Caenorhabditis elegans: one gene and its partner. The protein of the gene in region 2 interacts with the protein of the main gene of each other region in a pairwise test. Each region holds a gene or a part of one and is shown on either strand. Other genes may lie near its edges.

What was found.
Region 1: the proteins of wdfy-2 (region 2) and praf-3 interact in a two-hybrid assay, tested with the Caenorhabditis elegans proteins (2 studies listed by BioGRID).

What each region holds. Positions count from the first base shown.
Region 1 is NC_003282.8:8,376,144-8,383,722, reverse strand, and holds praf-3 (PRA1 family protein), read right to left. Parts: upstream 3,740-7,579; 5' UTR 3,734-3,739; coding exon 3,635-3,733; intron 3,450-3,634; coding exon 3,240-3,449; intron 2,848-3,239; exon of another isoform or gene 2,841-2,847; coding exon 2,743-2,840; intron 2,167-2,742; coding exon 2,013-2,166; 3' UTR 1,838-2,012; downstream 1-1,837. Other genes in the region: nssp-44 (Neuropeptide-Like Protein), read left to right, coding at 931-1,047, 1,574-1,691, 1,736-1,767; nap-1 (Nucleosome assembly protein 1-like 1), read left to right, coding at 4,412-4,537, 4,583-4,750, 4,936-5,103, 5,150-5,638; D2096.7 (ELYS domain-containing protein), read left to right, coding at 6,093-6,275, 6,322-6,412, 6,888-6,998, 7,057-7,192, 7,248-7,430.
Region 2 is NC_003280.10:9,317,235-9,324,713, reverse strand, and holds wdfy-2 (WD repeat and FYVE domain-containing protein 2), read right to left. Parts: upstream 4,850-7,479; 5' UTR 4,837-4,849; coding exon 4,773-4,836; intron 4,702-4,772; coding exon 4,500-4,701; intron 4,445-4,499; coding exon 4,098-4,444; intron 3,927-4,097; coding exon 3,809-3,926; intron 3,689-3,808; coding exon 3,329-3,688; intron 3,283-3,328; coding exon 3,126-3,282; 3' UTR 2,836-3,125; downstream 1-2,835. Other genes in the region: egli-1 (Transmembrane protein 41 homolog), read right to left, coding at 14-754; Ras-related protein rab-39, read left to right, coding at 1,805-2,046, 2,100-2,289, 2,340-2,453, 2,503-2,646; csa-1 (WD_REPEATS_REGION domain-containing protein), read left to right, coding at 5,242-5,285, 5,566-5,712, 5,757-5,843, 5,888-6,121, 6,350-6,541, 6,597-6,897, 6,949-7,026. UniProt on the Caenorhabditis elegans protein: Plays a role in coelomocyte endocytosis.

The DNA.
Region 1 (7,579 bases), on a different chromosome or scaffold from region 2:
CGATTTGAGATAAACCTTCTTTTAAGCCCTCTTCTTGACGCTTAGGTTATGTTTTCATTTACAAATGATGTGATTGTTATTGAACTTTTTGATCACCCAGATGTCTTTATTATTTTCTTTTGACCAGTAAAATACGTTATCTTGTTTTCCGGACCCCTGAAAGCATACCTGCCTACCATGTAATTTATCTTTTTCGAGGGCTTATTTTGAGTTTGAGTCTCTCGTGTTTACCAACAAAACCTGAAATTTCCACAAAATTTGCATTATATACACATTTTCTAAAATTAGTGCCGTTCTCTCAATTTTGAATTTATTCGAGAGATAGCCACTAGAAAAATGTTTTTTTCCGGCAGTCGCCCTTTCAAAAAAAATTTTAAAATCACAATTAAAAATGAAACTGAAAAACTTGACGTATTTCCAAAAAACTGTAAGACAAATTCGAAATTTTTGAGCCTGTTTTTTGTGCCCGCTGTGAAGCCTCGGCAAATTAAATGGAAAATACCAAAGAGTGTGCATTTTTTCCGCAAAGGGACCCATCAAAACCAATCCATTCACTTTTAGATAAACACTTGAGGAAGTTCCCAGTTTACCATAACCCAAAATAAATATTTACTTGTGATTCTCTAGTTATGCAAATTTATTGCCGAATTTCTTCTAGTGCGTCTCTCAATGTACTAACTCACATTTTTCAATTATTCTAAAATCTCTATAACTTCGATTTTATCCTTCTTACTCGCTCCACGCACCTTGTGACGAAGTGCTTATCTTTTCTAAAATCAGAAACATCAGCTTCATCCCTACAAATCCTCTTTCCACCTCAATATTCTCTTTCAACGTACTTGACATCAAAACTCTTCGTTGACTCCGCCCATTTTCCCCTCTTCTTCTACTTTCCCATACCTTGATTCATAATTTCAATTTCTTCAGAGAATGAACTCCACATCAATCGCAGCTTGGCTTCTCGTCCTTATTCTCGGAATTGTTTCCAGTCAGCCATTGTTTGGGCTTGAAAAGCAATTGCTATATTCGTTCCAGGACCCTGATGAAGTGAGTTTTCAGGGTTTTCAGAACATTTTGAAGATATGCGATTTTCTCTAATGTAGCTCAGGTAGTCATTTCTCTTGACTGTTTACCTACGAGCCTGCCTACCTGTTCTGAATTTTGGCTTGAACCCCAGTTTTTGCACAGGATTGATATGCGTATTTCTACTTGCAGATATTTTTTGAAAGTGCAACTAAGTATTTTAGAGATAAATTAGAAATTGCAGTAGACAGGAGTGTAGGCAGAAGGCGATGGTAGGCCGCCTAGAAGGCACGCATTTTTGCTATCCTGTGAAAATCCCCATTCCTATTGAAGCAAGAATTCTAATTTCAGTTGAATCTCATCAATAAGAAGATAGAAAATATGGTTTAAAAGTATCCCATGTACTTTAACTTGAGCATTAGGCACGCGTGAAGGCACAATTCAATCGTAGGCCGCCTGGAAGGCAAGGGCGTTCTGCTCGCGTGAAGTGTATTCTCTACGAAACTTCCAATTTCTTTTGAAAATTAAAAAACTAATTTTCAAATTTCAGTTCGAAATCATCAATAAGAGATCACCATTGCTAAGTCTTGTTGGTTCAAATGTTCGTTTCACAGAACCATTCTGGCAACGCGTTCAAAATAAGAAGAAAATCCGTTCGGTTGCAGTTGGTGAGTAAAGTAATTAAGTTTTTTTTGAAATGTTAAAATTTCAGACGCCGACAAACTTCCTCGCTACTTCCCATAATGTTTTTGTATAGCTAATAAATGATTTTTTCTGTTTTCCAAAGAAACCATTATTACGAATACTATTTGAATTGACAAACATGGATTTATGGGGGGAAAATGATTGAGCGGAGAACAATAAATAATTATACATTAAAAAATTGTGGAACGTAAAAATTTGGTTAATTTTGAGGCAAAATTGGGAGAAGGATGAGTTGAAACATGAGAAGAATATGTCAAGTTGGCTGGGGGGAATTGAATTGATATCTACACTTTCACATTGAGTCCAGTTCTGTCGAGAATTTGTCCCATGACACTTGTACGGATTCCTAGCTGTTCCTTCACATTTGCGGCACGGTTAGCAATACCACGAAGACGAAGAGATGCGTGAACAAGAACCAGGAATACTGGGAACAGCAAGCTGAAATTTATACAAAATTATAAATGGAGCATGATCCTGTTAGAAAATTCATTAAGAAACTTGTCTTGGTGTGTTATGTTCCTGTTGTTCTGAACTTTAGCACAGATTTTCTCATATTTTATGCATAGAACACACCAAAAAATCGAGAAATGTGTAGTTGTTTCTATCTTTCAAACTTCCTCTTTCACTTATTTTATTAATCATTTATATAAAGGGTTTTTTAACTTTTGATTATTAGGTAATTTTATTTAAAGGTGACGTAGAGCCGTTTGGTGATGGACTGTAATAACCATATTTTTTCAGACAGCTTTTCGCAAAAAAATATATGTGATTCTAGATTTTCAAGTCAATTTTGAAAATTTTAGCGATTTTCCGGCTTTCAAGGAGTTCAAAAATAAATATATCTTTGTTTTAATTTCAGCAAAATTAAAAAAAAAACACATTAAGAATTTTATTTTTTACAGTTATATTTGATTATTAAGTCCATTTATAACTGCGACAAATTTACATTAAATAAGAATATTGTCCACTTATGAAAACAGTTTTACAACATTAGTAATTTTTTATAAAACTTACGCAAAGGCAACCACAAGAACGGATTGGAAGACAGAAATGAAGAAATAGGCAACGAGAATTATTCCTCCAAGAGTGACCAATGGATGATCCGTGCGCATCTTAAAACTTGATTTTTTTTTGGTAATTCTTGGTTTCAGTAATTGTTTTTGGACCAATTTTATGTGCCATCATGTTTTAATCTATATTTTTCAATTATTTTTTTAGCTTTAACTTGCAAAAAAACGATTATCACAACAATAATTTTCATCAACGAAGTGCACAAACTGTTACGTGAAACATATGTTAACTTATCCTATTCAGGTAAACGGTAAAAACGAGCTCTTTTTATTTTTTACGGTGGACATGGCTTAATTTTATGCTGCTGCGTTTTGCATCTGAAACTTGAACTTAAACTAATTTTGAATTCCAAATTCCAATAAAACTTTGTACCTATCAATTCCGTCAACAATTCGAATTTCTTATCAATATAAAAACATCACATTCCCGTCAATCATTACCTTTTTGATATTTGCATCAGCCGAGACAGCAAAGATTAGAGTTGCAATTACGGCGACAACGGCGATAAGACCGACGAAAATGTCCTGGCTACTGATGAACGTGTGCAGAAGGAATAAAGTGATGATTGTAACAAAGTAGTTGGTTTGAAAGTACAGAAGATTCGAGATTATTCGATTGTTCCATTTCTTGAAGTCGTTAAATGGTGGACGCTGAAAATCAATCAATTGGATTTTTATCTTTTGAATATTGAAATAAAAAACTCGATTATTTTTAAATTAAACTCTAAGTAAAAATTTTAAACGACCACTTTAGTCAAACTTCAACATATGTAAATATATTTTCTACAAAAGTTGGCCCTTCTTTAAAAATATATGTAATAACAATTCAAGCCTACCTCGTATCGATCGGTTTCCAGCAGAAACTCGTGAAAATTTCTGAACGGTGGCACTTCCACGCCATTCATAATTTGCATATTTTCTGAGGACGTCGTCATTTTTCCCTGAAAATAACAATGAATTTGAAAACTCGCTAAGATTTTCGGAAGTTGAAAATATTTAAAGTAAAGTGAGAAGTTTTGTGCTGAACGGGGGAACATCTGGCGTCGAATGCTATGTGTAATATTCTAATAGCTTAAGGAACTTCGAGAGAATCGAGAAAACGAGAAATATGATTCCAAGATGTGGGTTATTTGAAGAGCTATCAAATTTTAGAATTTGAAACGCAAAAAACTGTTTATTTAAAAAAAAAAGTGCCTACAATTAGTTTCAAATGCAATCAAATTTCAGGAGAATTTACTATCATAACAAATCCATACTTTTATAAATAAAAATCAATACAATTATTATATGTAAATCACCAAAACAAACCAGAAAACAAACGACAATATGAAAACATTGATAAAAAATAATATAGGCATGAAAGACCATCTCGTAAATAATAAGCTTGTGTGCGCCTTTAACCGCGGGTCTCACCGCGAAGAGACATTTTATGGAGGAGGAGCGAAGTGGTTGTTTGGAAAATATATTTTCAACTCTCGTCCTATGATTTTAGACAGCACTGCTTCGTTTCACAATAATTTTACAGATTTTTTCTCGAATTTTCGAAAATCATCGTATTTTTTTGCTTGAAAGAGTATGCCAAAATCATCTATTTATGCTTTGTAGGTAATAAAATGGCTGATCAAGAGCATATTGACGCTGGACTTCTCAGCACCAACTTCGACATGATTCAGGCTTTGCCTCTCAATGTCAAGCAACGCGTCTGCGCTCTCAAAAACCTTCAAATGAAGACAATTCAGGTTAGTTTTCTTTGTTTATGTTCTTAAGTATATAATTTATTTCAGATTGAATCTGACTTCTACAAACGTGTTCACGAGCTCGAGATCGAGTTTGAAGGAAAGTTCAAATCCACTTTCGATCAAAGAAAGGCTATTGTCGCGGGAGAGGTCGAGCCAACTAAAGAACAAATCGACACTCCAATCCTCGAAGGACTCGAGGGAGATCAACTCGCTGTAAGTTCCTAATCAAGATTCCCTATATAGCCTGCAACTATTCAAGAGATTTGCCTCCCGTGGGGCACGCCTTTTTTCGTTGCGAAATAAAACATGTCCTTTATTCCCGCTCCTGGATTGTGTTTCTTGCGCGATGATATGGCTATGACAATTCCAGCTTATTAGTTGACATTTCTTTGTTTCAGGAATTGTACAAAGCTGCGGAGGCTGACCCATCAGCAAAGGGGATCAAGGATTTCTGGCTCACCGCTCTCAGAACCCATGATCTTGTTGCTGAAGCCATCGAGGAGCATGACGTACCAATCCTCTCATATCTCACTGATGTGACGACCGCCGCTAGCAAGGATCCAGCCGTAAGCGCATTTCATTGTTTTCGAAAGTTAATGTTTTGAACTTCAGGGTTTCAAAATCGAGTTCCACTTTGCCACCAACCCATACTTCAAAAACCAAGTTCTTACCAAGACCTACTTGCTCGGTTTCGACCCAGATGCGGAGGCACCACTCCAATTCGATGGACCACATGTCATCCGCGCTGTCGGAGATACTATTGAGTGGGAAGACGGCAAGAACGTCACCAAGAAGGCTGTCAAGAAGAAGCAAAAGAAGGGAGCTAATGCTGGAAAGTTCCTCACCAAAACTGTGAAAGCAGATAGTTTCTTCAACTTCTTCGAGCCACCAAAGAGCAAGGACGAGAGAAATGAAGATGAGGACGATGAACAGGCAGAGGAGTTCCTTGAGCTCGACTACGAGATGGGACAAGCTATCCGTGATACCATCATTCCACGTGCTGTTCTTTTCTACACTGGAGAACTTCAATCAGACGATATGTTCGATTTCCCAGGAGAGGACGGTGATGATGTGTCAGACTTCAGTGACGATGAGGCTTAAGCAGTATCGATGGACCACTTATTAATTTGCCAATTTTTGAAATTATTAATTTTCCATTTTCTTTTTTAAAATTTTTTTGATTATTCCCAACCCCTTCACATAATAGGCGGAAAACCGATTGTTGCTGTTACTTGTTGTTGTCGTTTATTCCCTGACCTATCCATATTCCGCTTCTCCCAATCTCTAAAGATATACCTGAAAACGAGTTGTCGTCGAAATACTTGATACATGTTGTCTTCATCCTGGTGTATGTTGTTTCGCAAATTCTTCATACTAGTTATGATAGGATTTGAATGAGCTGGCACGAGTCGACTTTGAACTCGAATTTCAATATTTTCGTGATCCTGCATTAAGTGATGAATAAAATCCCTTGTTGCGAATTTCAGTCCTTCTGAGGTCTTGCCATCTGGAACATCTTTCAGGAGAGATCGTCTATTTCAAAACCCTCTGCATTATGTTGGACGGCTACCAACTCCTCTTAAAAGCACAGTGCTCGGAATCGCTAGACTTGCTAGGACTGTCACAAGCAGAGATATTGATTATCATCGAAAACGAAAGACGATATGATGTGAAAACTCGTCTCTGCGAGAGGATTGCTTTTTTAATTTACCAAGACTCGAACTTTGGACGTTTACCGGTATCACCCAACACATTCCTTTCAGATGTATTTAATTGTTCTTCAGCACAACTCTTCGGAAGTTTTCGCGTCCATCAACAGATTATGTAAATCAATGCCAACTGGTTTTTCATTTGAAGGTAGATATTCAAATTATGGTAATCTTCTTATTATTATCTCAATTATACAGTTTGGTGTTACCTAAAAGTTCTAGTCTCAATAGACAAATACTTGTTACTTTCCCAAAATATTTGAAGAACAGAAAAAGTATTTGCACACATTTTCGAGTTAAATGTCGTCGGTTTTTTTCTCTTCAAATTTCGAAATGTTGCGAAAAAAGAGAACATATGTCTGCGTCTACTTCTCTCGAGTTCTCTAGCATGTACTTTATCGAAGAGACCCGAAAAAAGTTTCGAATGTTTCTGTGCTGCAAAGTGCACTTTTCATTTAATCGAAGCCAGTTGGTTAAATGGAACAAAATGATTGGGGGCGAAATAGTATAAATAAAGTGGAATGTTCTGAAAGAATCATAAGCTTAAAAATATGTCTAGAGCAGAAAGATCCACTAGGAACAAACATCGGCGTTAAAATCACAGAAACCCAGGCCACAAAAATGTGAAAATAATTTTTCAGATCCTGAAACATTTGTCGGGCCGTCCACCACGAGTGATACACTTCAAAATTTCCCAAATCATTCTCTTGAGCGGATTTTATGTGCGACGCTTCTATCAACCTCAGAAGAAGGTGAGAGATTTAAAGGTTATTCATTCGGTCTTCTATTATTCAGAAAATTCTTTTTTAGACCTTCCTTCTCTTCTTGACTCAATTTTCTCTCAGAAATATCCAACAACTGCGACTCTAACCCAGAAGCTTCTGGATAATGATGAACGATTTCTTACATGTACACTTGCACTTTTACCTCTCATTGAGACTTTACCGTAAGTCAGAAGATAGTTAATTTATTAAAAAGTTTAAATTCAAAACTATTTTCAGAACAAGTTCAATATTCCATCCCGTGTCTGTGTTTCTCGAGGCCATGCATCTCATAAGCTACGATTGTGAAGTAGTAATTGACTGGTTGAATTCTGAATTGGCATCTTCTTCACTGATTCTACGAATTCTAAAATCAAATTGCCATGACAAAAACAGAAACTGCTGGATGAGTTATTCCCCGATGTATGTTATAGAATATCATAAGTATGCATACCAAAATATACAACGTCGACGAGTTTCAAAGAAACCGTATTCATCCCGTTGGGTCTCGCGGCGAAAAATGCATTCACGAAGAATAATATAATTTCAAAAAATAAACTTTTGAAAATCAA
Region 2 (7,479 bases):
ATAAGAGAGAAAATTAATCCGATTTGAGCTTCTTCTTGAGCAAAATAGGAGCCAGCGACAAAATCGCCGAACCCGTAAGTAAAACGATAGAACTCCAACTCCATGCTACACTGGTATGGCTCAATTGTTCCAGTGTTGAGCCAGCTTGAATATACAGGAAACTTGGTGGAGCAACGCCTAGAAATGTTCCCCAGAAGAATGGAGCCAGTGGAACATCTAGAACAGGACTGGCAATGTTGATTAGCCAATTTGGAACAATTGGAGTTACTCGAAGGAAAATCATATAGTTCAGAAAGTCATCACGATGCTTGCTCAGATCATCCTGCCATTTTGCGATTCTTTCGGGAAACTTTTGCAAAACAAATGATCGTCCAAAAAGTTTAGAAATGGTGTAGCAGATGGCGGCTCCAGTTGCAGAGCAGGAGCACACCAACACAATTGCCACATAGAATGGAAACAGGTATCCTGATAGAATTGTTAGAAAAATAGATCCAGGGATAGCGAAGGACTGTAGAAATACGTAGACGACAATTACACCGCACAGAACTACTGAATAGTTGTTCTCCTTGTACTTCGAGAGAACTCTGCCCAGCTGCTTAGCGTCTTCCAGATTCCTGGGATATTTCAAATGAACCTTCTCATCTGCCGAGACTTCAGGAAAATTGCTGTATACAGCAAAAATTGAGACCGCAAAAGTGGCGAAAATGAGTAGAACAAGCCACGGATGTGAAGTTTGGGATGATTTTGTTTCCATAATATCTGAATGTTAAATTCTTTTGTGCACGGACATTACGGGTGAATTAGTGTAAAGACAACATTAAAACATAGAGATGGGAAATAAAAAGATAACATGATTAAAAACTATTTACGAAATACATCAAAACTCGATTTATCCTGTAACATACGTAAGAAGTATGTCAAATTTTAAGAAGATAATCGTAGATTTAGGATTTTTACTACAACAAAGCCTCTTAACCGAAAATTGTTCACAAAGTGTGTTTAATAAAAATCAAACAAATAATTCGAGTTTTTCCTGGATTCAATAGCGTTAGTGCTTCACATTTAATTTAATCAAACAAACTTATGCAAAACTATTTCGCAATATTACTATTCAGATTTCTTTAACTGTGAGAGTTAATCTATATATATATATATATATATATATATATAATATGTTCTTATATATGTTAACTTTTCCGAAATTCTAATTGTGTAATTGAAAAGTTTTGGAAAACAGGTGTTTTCGAGAAATTTTGCAGAAAGAAATGTTGCATCTTTACTTGAACTAGATTTTCTACTCTATTCTTAATTTATTTATATCAGTATATGTTTAAAATAACGTCAAAAGCGGAAACATGAAACAAATTGATTCAAAAGAGCTCTATAATCTTGCGAAGACAGCGGAGGAGAGAAAACAGCGGTAGAGAAAGCAGAGAAAAACGAAAATCGATAATTTCGGATTCAAACTCGACGAGAATGCTTTAAAATTGAATTTATATAAAGAATACTCTCGAAAACCGTGAAAAAATTTAATAAAAATAATCATTAGTGTATATTATTTAGAAAACGGCTCTTCGGTGCGGGACCCGCCACCAAGAAAATTCTATGCGCCTTTAAAAAGTCAGCCGTTTTTATTTATTGATCATCTGATTTCTAAGATTTCTGCTGAAATTAAAAAGGTTTTCATTTAAAAAAGTAATATTTATTGATAATTGTTGCTCGGATAACTTTAAATTTATTTTCTTATAATAATTGCATCATTCTCTATTGGAAACGCTCAACAATATATCATTTTTTAGACAAAATGGAAACAAACTTCATTGGTGACGACTATGGACCGCTCTTTCACTACCAATATCGTCTTATCGTTATTGGGGATTCAACAGTTGGCAAATCTAGTCTTTTACGGTACTTCACAGAAGGAAAAATGGCCGAAATCAGCGACCCAACTGTCGGAGTAGACTTTTATGCAAGGATGATTGAGTTGAGGCCTGGATATCGTGTTAAATTGCAACTATGGGATACAGCAGGACAGGAAAAATTCAGGTATGTGGATTTTTTTAAAAAGAATATTAGCTGATTAAAAAAAATATTTTTAGATCAATTACAAAATCCTACTATCGGAATTCTGTTGGAGTCCTTGCAATCTACGACACAACGAATCGAGAAAGTTTTGAGCATGTTGAAAATTGGGTTAAAGAAGCAGCATTAAATTTGGGTGGTCCAAGCCCATCGAAGTGTGTCTTCCAATTAGTCGGAACAAAAAGTGATATGGATTCACAGCGACAGGTAATTTTTGAACAAAAGTTGTGTTTAAAAAATTGGTTAAAAGCTTTCAGGTAAACTATGAGGAAGGCGAGTACTTTGCCAAGTACCATAAAATGAAGTTTATCGAGACGTCGTCGAGAACAGGAGACAATGTTAATGAAGCTTTTCATATGATTGCACAAGAGGTTTTTTTGAAAATGTTTCAATTTTATGATGTAATTTTCAAATTTTTAGATTCAAAATCGAGTCGACGACGGAGAACTGCGGCCCGTGGATGGCTGGGAAGGCCTTAAAACTGGTATTATGAGGTCACAATCCGTGTGCCTATCCGAAAGAAGTTTCCCTCAAAACAGCAGCGCAGGAGCTTGCGGATGTTGATAATTTCTCCTCAATTTTTTAATTTTCCCCGTAGTCATAATTTCGCGTAGCGTTCTTATAAACATCAAAAACTCAGCTATTTTGTGTACTTCCTGTGAGCTTTCTCCTTCATCCAGTGTCACCAACCTCACCTACTCTCCCGGCATGCATTCTTTTGAAATAATTTCTAGTCGTTCTGTCCAAAAACTTCAAAAAAAAAGATTTTTTTTCAAACTTTGTTGTAAAAATACAATTTTACAGTCGAAAAACTAGGAAATTATCGGGATTAGAAGAAAAGTAAGAATCACAATCACTATTCAGGACAACCTGTCAGGGGTATCGGGAAATATTGGTAAGTTTTAGAAGGTCTTGATTTGACAACAATTGGTCTTGGGGAAGGATGGGCATTTTGAGAGTGAATATACAAAATAGAAAGGAGAGGAAATAAATTAGATGAAATACAAAGAATTATGAGAAATTCGAGAAGTAGAAGCAATTGTTTATTGTGATCCAGAAGGGGCAGAGCAAACACTTCGAACATCCCAAATCATAATCACACGATTCTGTCCACTGGTAACTAGAAGTCCGAGAGTTTCCTGGAGATGCATAGCAGTGATTCCAGTATGGATTTCATGTGGAATTGCAAGTGGAGTAAGGCTAAAATTGAAAATAAGTTTCATCAGTCATTTGCTTTACAACTTACTTGAAATTCTGTGGATTATCTTTCATTCGTGCATTGCAGTCATTACAAATGCGAATTTTCGTCTCATATCCCATTGGTGGATAGGTGGTCCAGTTGTCACAGCAAGATCCACAGACTGCTGATCCACAGGTTCTGCAGTGATGTTGTCTCAATCCGACCACTTTCCTCTGCCACATTGCTTGAAGATTCCAGAAGAACGGTTGATTGCATTTCTGACAGCAATCCGAAGTTTTCCATTCAGGAGTCTCAACTCTCTTGCAATTCATGTCCCAGCACATGAGCTTTCCGTGTTCGTCAGCCGAGAACAGACGTTTGGCTGCTGGAGCTGCGCATAGTGTTGTCACTTTTCCATTGTGTCCGCTGAAAAAAACATTTTTTAATTTGGAAAAATCTATTTCAACTAAATATAATTCAACTTTTGCGCTCGAAAAACATCAACACTTTCGAAATATCACGTAAATTCCAGAAATATACACTCACTTAAGCTCATAAGCTTCTCCTCTTCCTCCTCCGATATCCCACATTATGATGAGATGATCACTGCTTCCAGAATACAAAACTTTCTTATTTCCGTCCCATGTGAGCGAGGTGATTGCATCTGAAAAATCATTGAACTAATTCAAACCACAATTACTAATTGTATTGATTGTGGGGAATTTCAGGAAATACTGGAATGTTATACTTAACAAATATTTTTCCTAGGCACGATAGCATTTAAAATTTCGAATTAATATTTTACTCAAAAAAAAAGAATACGATAAAAACTCACTCGTATGTGCACTAAGCTTGCTGACAAGATTTGGTTGATTATCGACAATACGAAGAACAGTGACATGCCCACCATGATCTCCAACGAATACAAATGGAAGATCAATGACCATTGCTGTACAACTATTTTCCAAAAGATAACTTCCCATCTTATTTGAATTTTCTGAACAATGCCAGACGATAGATTTATCTCGAGAACAGCTGAAAATGAGCTCGGAGGAGAGTGCAAAGCCGAGTCCAGAGATTGGTCCAGCGTGACATGTCCATTTTCGGGATTCTGTCATACTGTTAAAGTCATCGGCAACACTGAATTCATAGACATTTCCATTGATAAGTCCGACGAGCAGCCTGAATAAAAAAATTAAAAATTTAAAAAATAAAACGATTTAAACTTTAAACTAACTTATAAGTTTCTTCACTGTAATAAAGACTTGTTGGAGCAACTGGCATGAAATGATGAATTGACGGCCAAAATTGATCATTATCTCTTTTTAAGTACAGGCGAACGGATCTATCATCACTTGCAGTCCAGACTCCTTCGTCTTTTGATAGTAAAATGACGTCATTGATACGAGCCACGTGGCCAGTGATTCTGTGAAGAAGAGCTGAAAATTAAAATAAATTCGAAAATTACACAGGTTATGGAAATCAAATGGTTCGTTTTCAATTCACCAACCTGGTTTGGCTCCTCCCATACTTGATTCGCCCTGTTCGACGCGTTGATTGATTATTGCAGCCATAATGGCTGAAAATCTGAAAGAAAATCAAATTGAATGCCAATAAATGACACATAAAGTTTAGAGGACGGAATGCAGATGTTTAAAGCAAAAATCGATAAAACCACGTGTTCTCGCCCGTTTGTTTACACTTCTGCACCTTTTTTACTTTTGTTACTATTTCTGAACTAAATATTTCCTTGTGGAAATTGAAATTTTTATCAAACTAATTTTGCAACCGGTCTGGAAACAGATGAATCAGTGCCCGGTAAATAACGGAAAACCGGTGCGGCCGAGAATGAACTTGTTTGGTGGACTCTAGGCCATTGGCTGTTTTAAGGAGGATATTCAAATTAACAGCAACGTTTGAGCTTTTTATTTAATCGTAATATATTTATTCGCATGTTTCTATAATTTCTCAACAGGAAAATGACTGTTCGTCACGAGGAGTACATGTTCAGCTGTGATTTGAAGTGAGTTTTGCGGTTTTTATGTGAATTTCGTAATAATTTTGAAAAAAAAGTGCAAATGCATAATTAAAATTTAAAACAAACGAGAAAAATAGAGAAATTTAATGTTAAAATGCGCAAATAAAGAAAATAAATGACAGTACCGCAATTTTTTCAAGGCGCAAGAGTCAGAAAACCAGACGGGTCCCGCAACGACTTTAAACTTTTATGAATTTACAGGCCTAGATTTTCTTACTGTACTAATTTTTTTTAAAATTTGAGTTATATTTGAAATTTTTTGCAGAAAACGCCGAGTTTTCGAAGAACAACAAGTTTCACGGGCTCTTTTGAATTTTCGATGGACAAAACATATTCCTATGGGTTGTGATCAGACGGGGAAAGGCCATCAAGAAGATATTAGTGCGATTGATATAGATGATGGTGACCAAATGTTGGTTTAATTAGGAGTTTGTTTAAAAAAAATTGATTTTTCAGGCTACTATTTGGATCTCATAGTGGTTCAGTGTCAGTTGCCAAATATAAATACTTGGATCGTAAAAAGTGGAAGAAACCTATGACTCTGTATGTAACAACCGCAATAATTCTAAAATTTATCAAGATTTCAGAAAACTTGCGAAGCAATCTCTGAAAACAATAAAATGGTGTCCAATCGATCTTCGCCTTTTCATGGTTACAACAGCATCAAATTGGATGCGAGTTTGTGATAGTACCATGGAAAAAGTGGTTCATGGGAAACAATTTGAAGGAGATGTTTATTTTGATTGGAATGAGTATAATATGACAAATTCAAAAGTTGCCGTGGCAGATGGAGGGAGATCAATGAAAATTATAGATTTTAGGTAAGCTTTAAAAGTTCCACGAAATGCCTGCCTACGTGCCTGAAGGCTAGTGGATCTTGTATTGAACAAGAGCTATATTTTGTTATGACTGCCTAACTTTCTAAAACTTTGGTCTTACAATTTCCCCTGGTCGAACCTCTTGTCTTAAATTTTTATGAATTATTTCAAAATTTAAAATTTAATTAAAATTAATTAACATTTTATATTTCAAAATAAATATCATTTCAGAGTCGGAATGGATCTACCTCAATCGATATATTGGAATGATGAACCAATTGATGTTGTACAGTGGTATCCATCAAAACATCATTACTTATATGCAGGACGACGAGATGGAACAATTGGACTATTTGATATTCGGAGCACACGTGGAGCAATTGCTGAGAAATCTCTTCACAAATCACAAATTTATGGACTAAAGTACTTTATTTTCAAAACTTTAAATTGAAGGTATTCTAAATCTCATAAATTCCAGAATATCTGCCGATGGACATCGTCTCATCTCTGCCGATAGATCGGGGTACATTCATGTGGCAGATACGTGGGATTTCAGCACAAAATTTGATTTTTCCTGTGAATTCGATCCACTTATGCAGCGTCGTCCAAATTTGGAATTTATATATGAGAAGGATTTTTATGTGGCAACGAATTTTGAAAAACTGACGATCATTCGGTTTTCTGATAATGATAAATCAAGAAGAAATCCAGATTTTCGAGAAGTTGAAGCAAAAGTGTTGTGGGATAAGCCCTTCATTTTTCGAAAATCAAGCTATGAGGTAGGATACTGAAAGTTGTTCAAGAATGAAACTGGGTGATTTTTGTTTCAGATAATCACAGGCTTCAACTACAATCATCTGAATATTTTATCCCTTGACAGATCAACCAAAGATCAAGACGAAGTATAGCAGGTCGCAACCAAAAAGAAAACACATTTTATAAAATTCTTTAATTTTTATTTTCTGGTCGCAAAATTTTTTACGAGTTTTAATACGATTTTTAAAGATGCATATGCACATGAATGAATATTTTCTAAAATTGTCACTCAAGCACTTCAAAATTAATCTAGTAAACATCAGATGTAGGCACAAAAGCTCGCGCCTGCCTTCAAGGTGGCCTACGTCTAATTTGTGCCTACTTCATAACTACACAAAAACATTTTTCACGTTTGAATTCAATGTTCGAAACTTAAATGAGTTCAAGCAACATAAAACTAAACAGTGCAAACAACAAACAACATAATTCACGCCAAAATTCAAACAATAGGTCGTAGGTAGGCTTCTAGGCAGGCAGGCAAGAAGCATTGAAGTTTTGCTGTAATTGGAGAAAGTTCAGTAATGTACAATGTATCACTCTAGAAT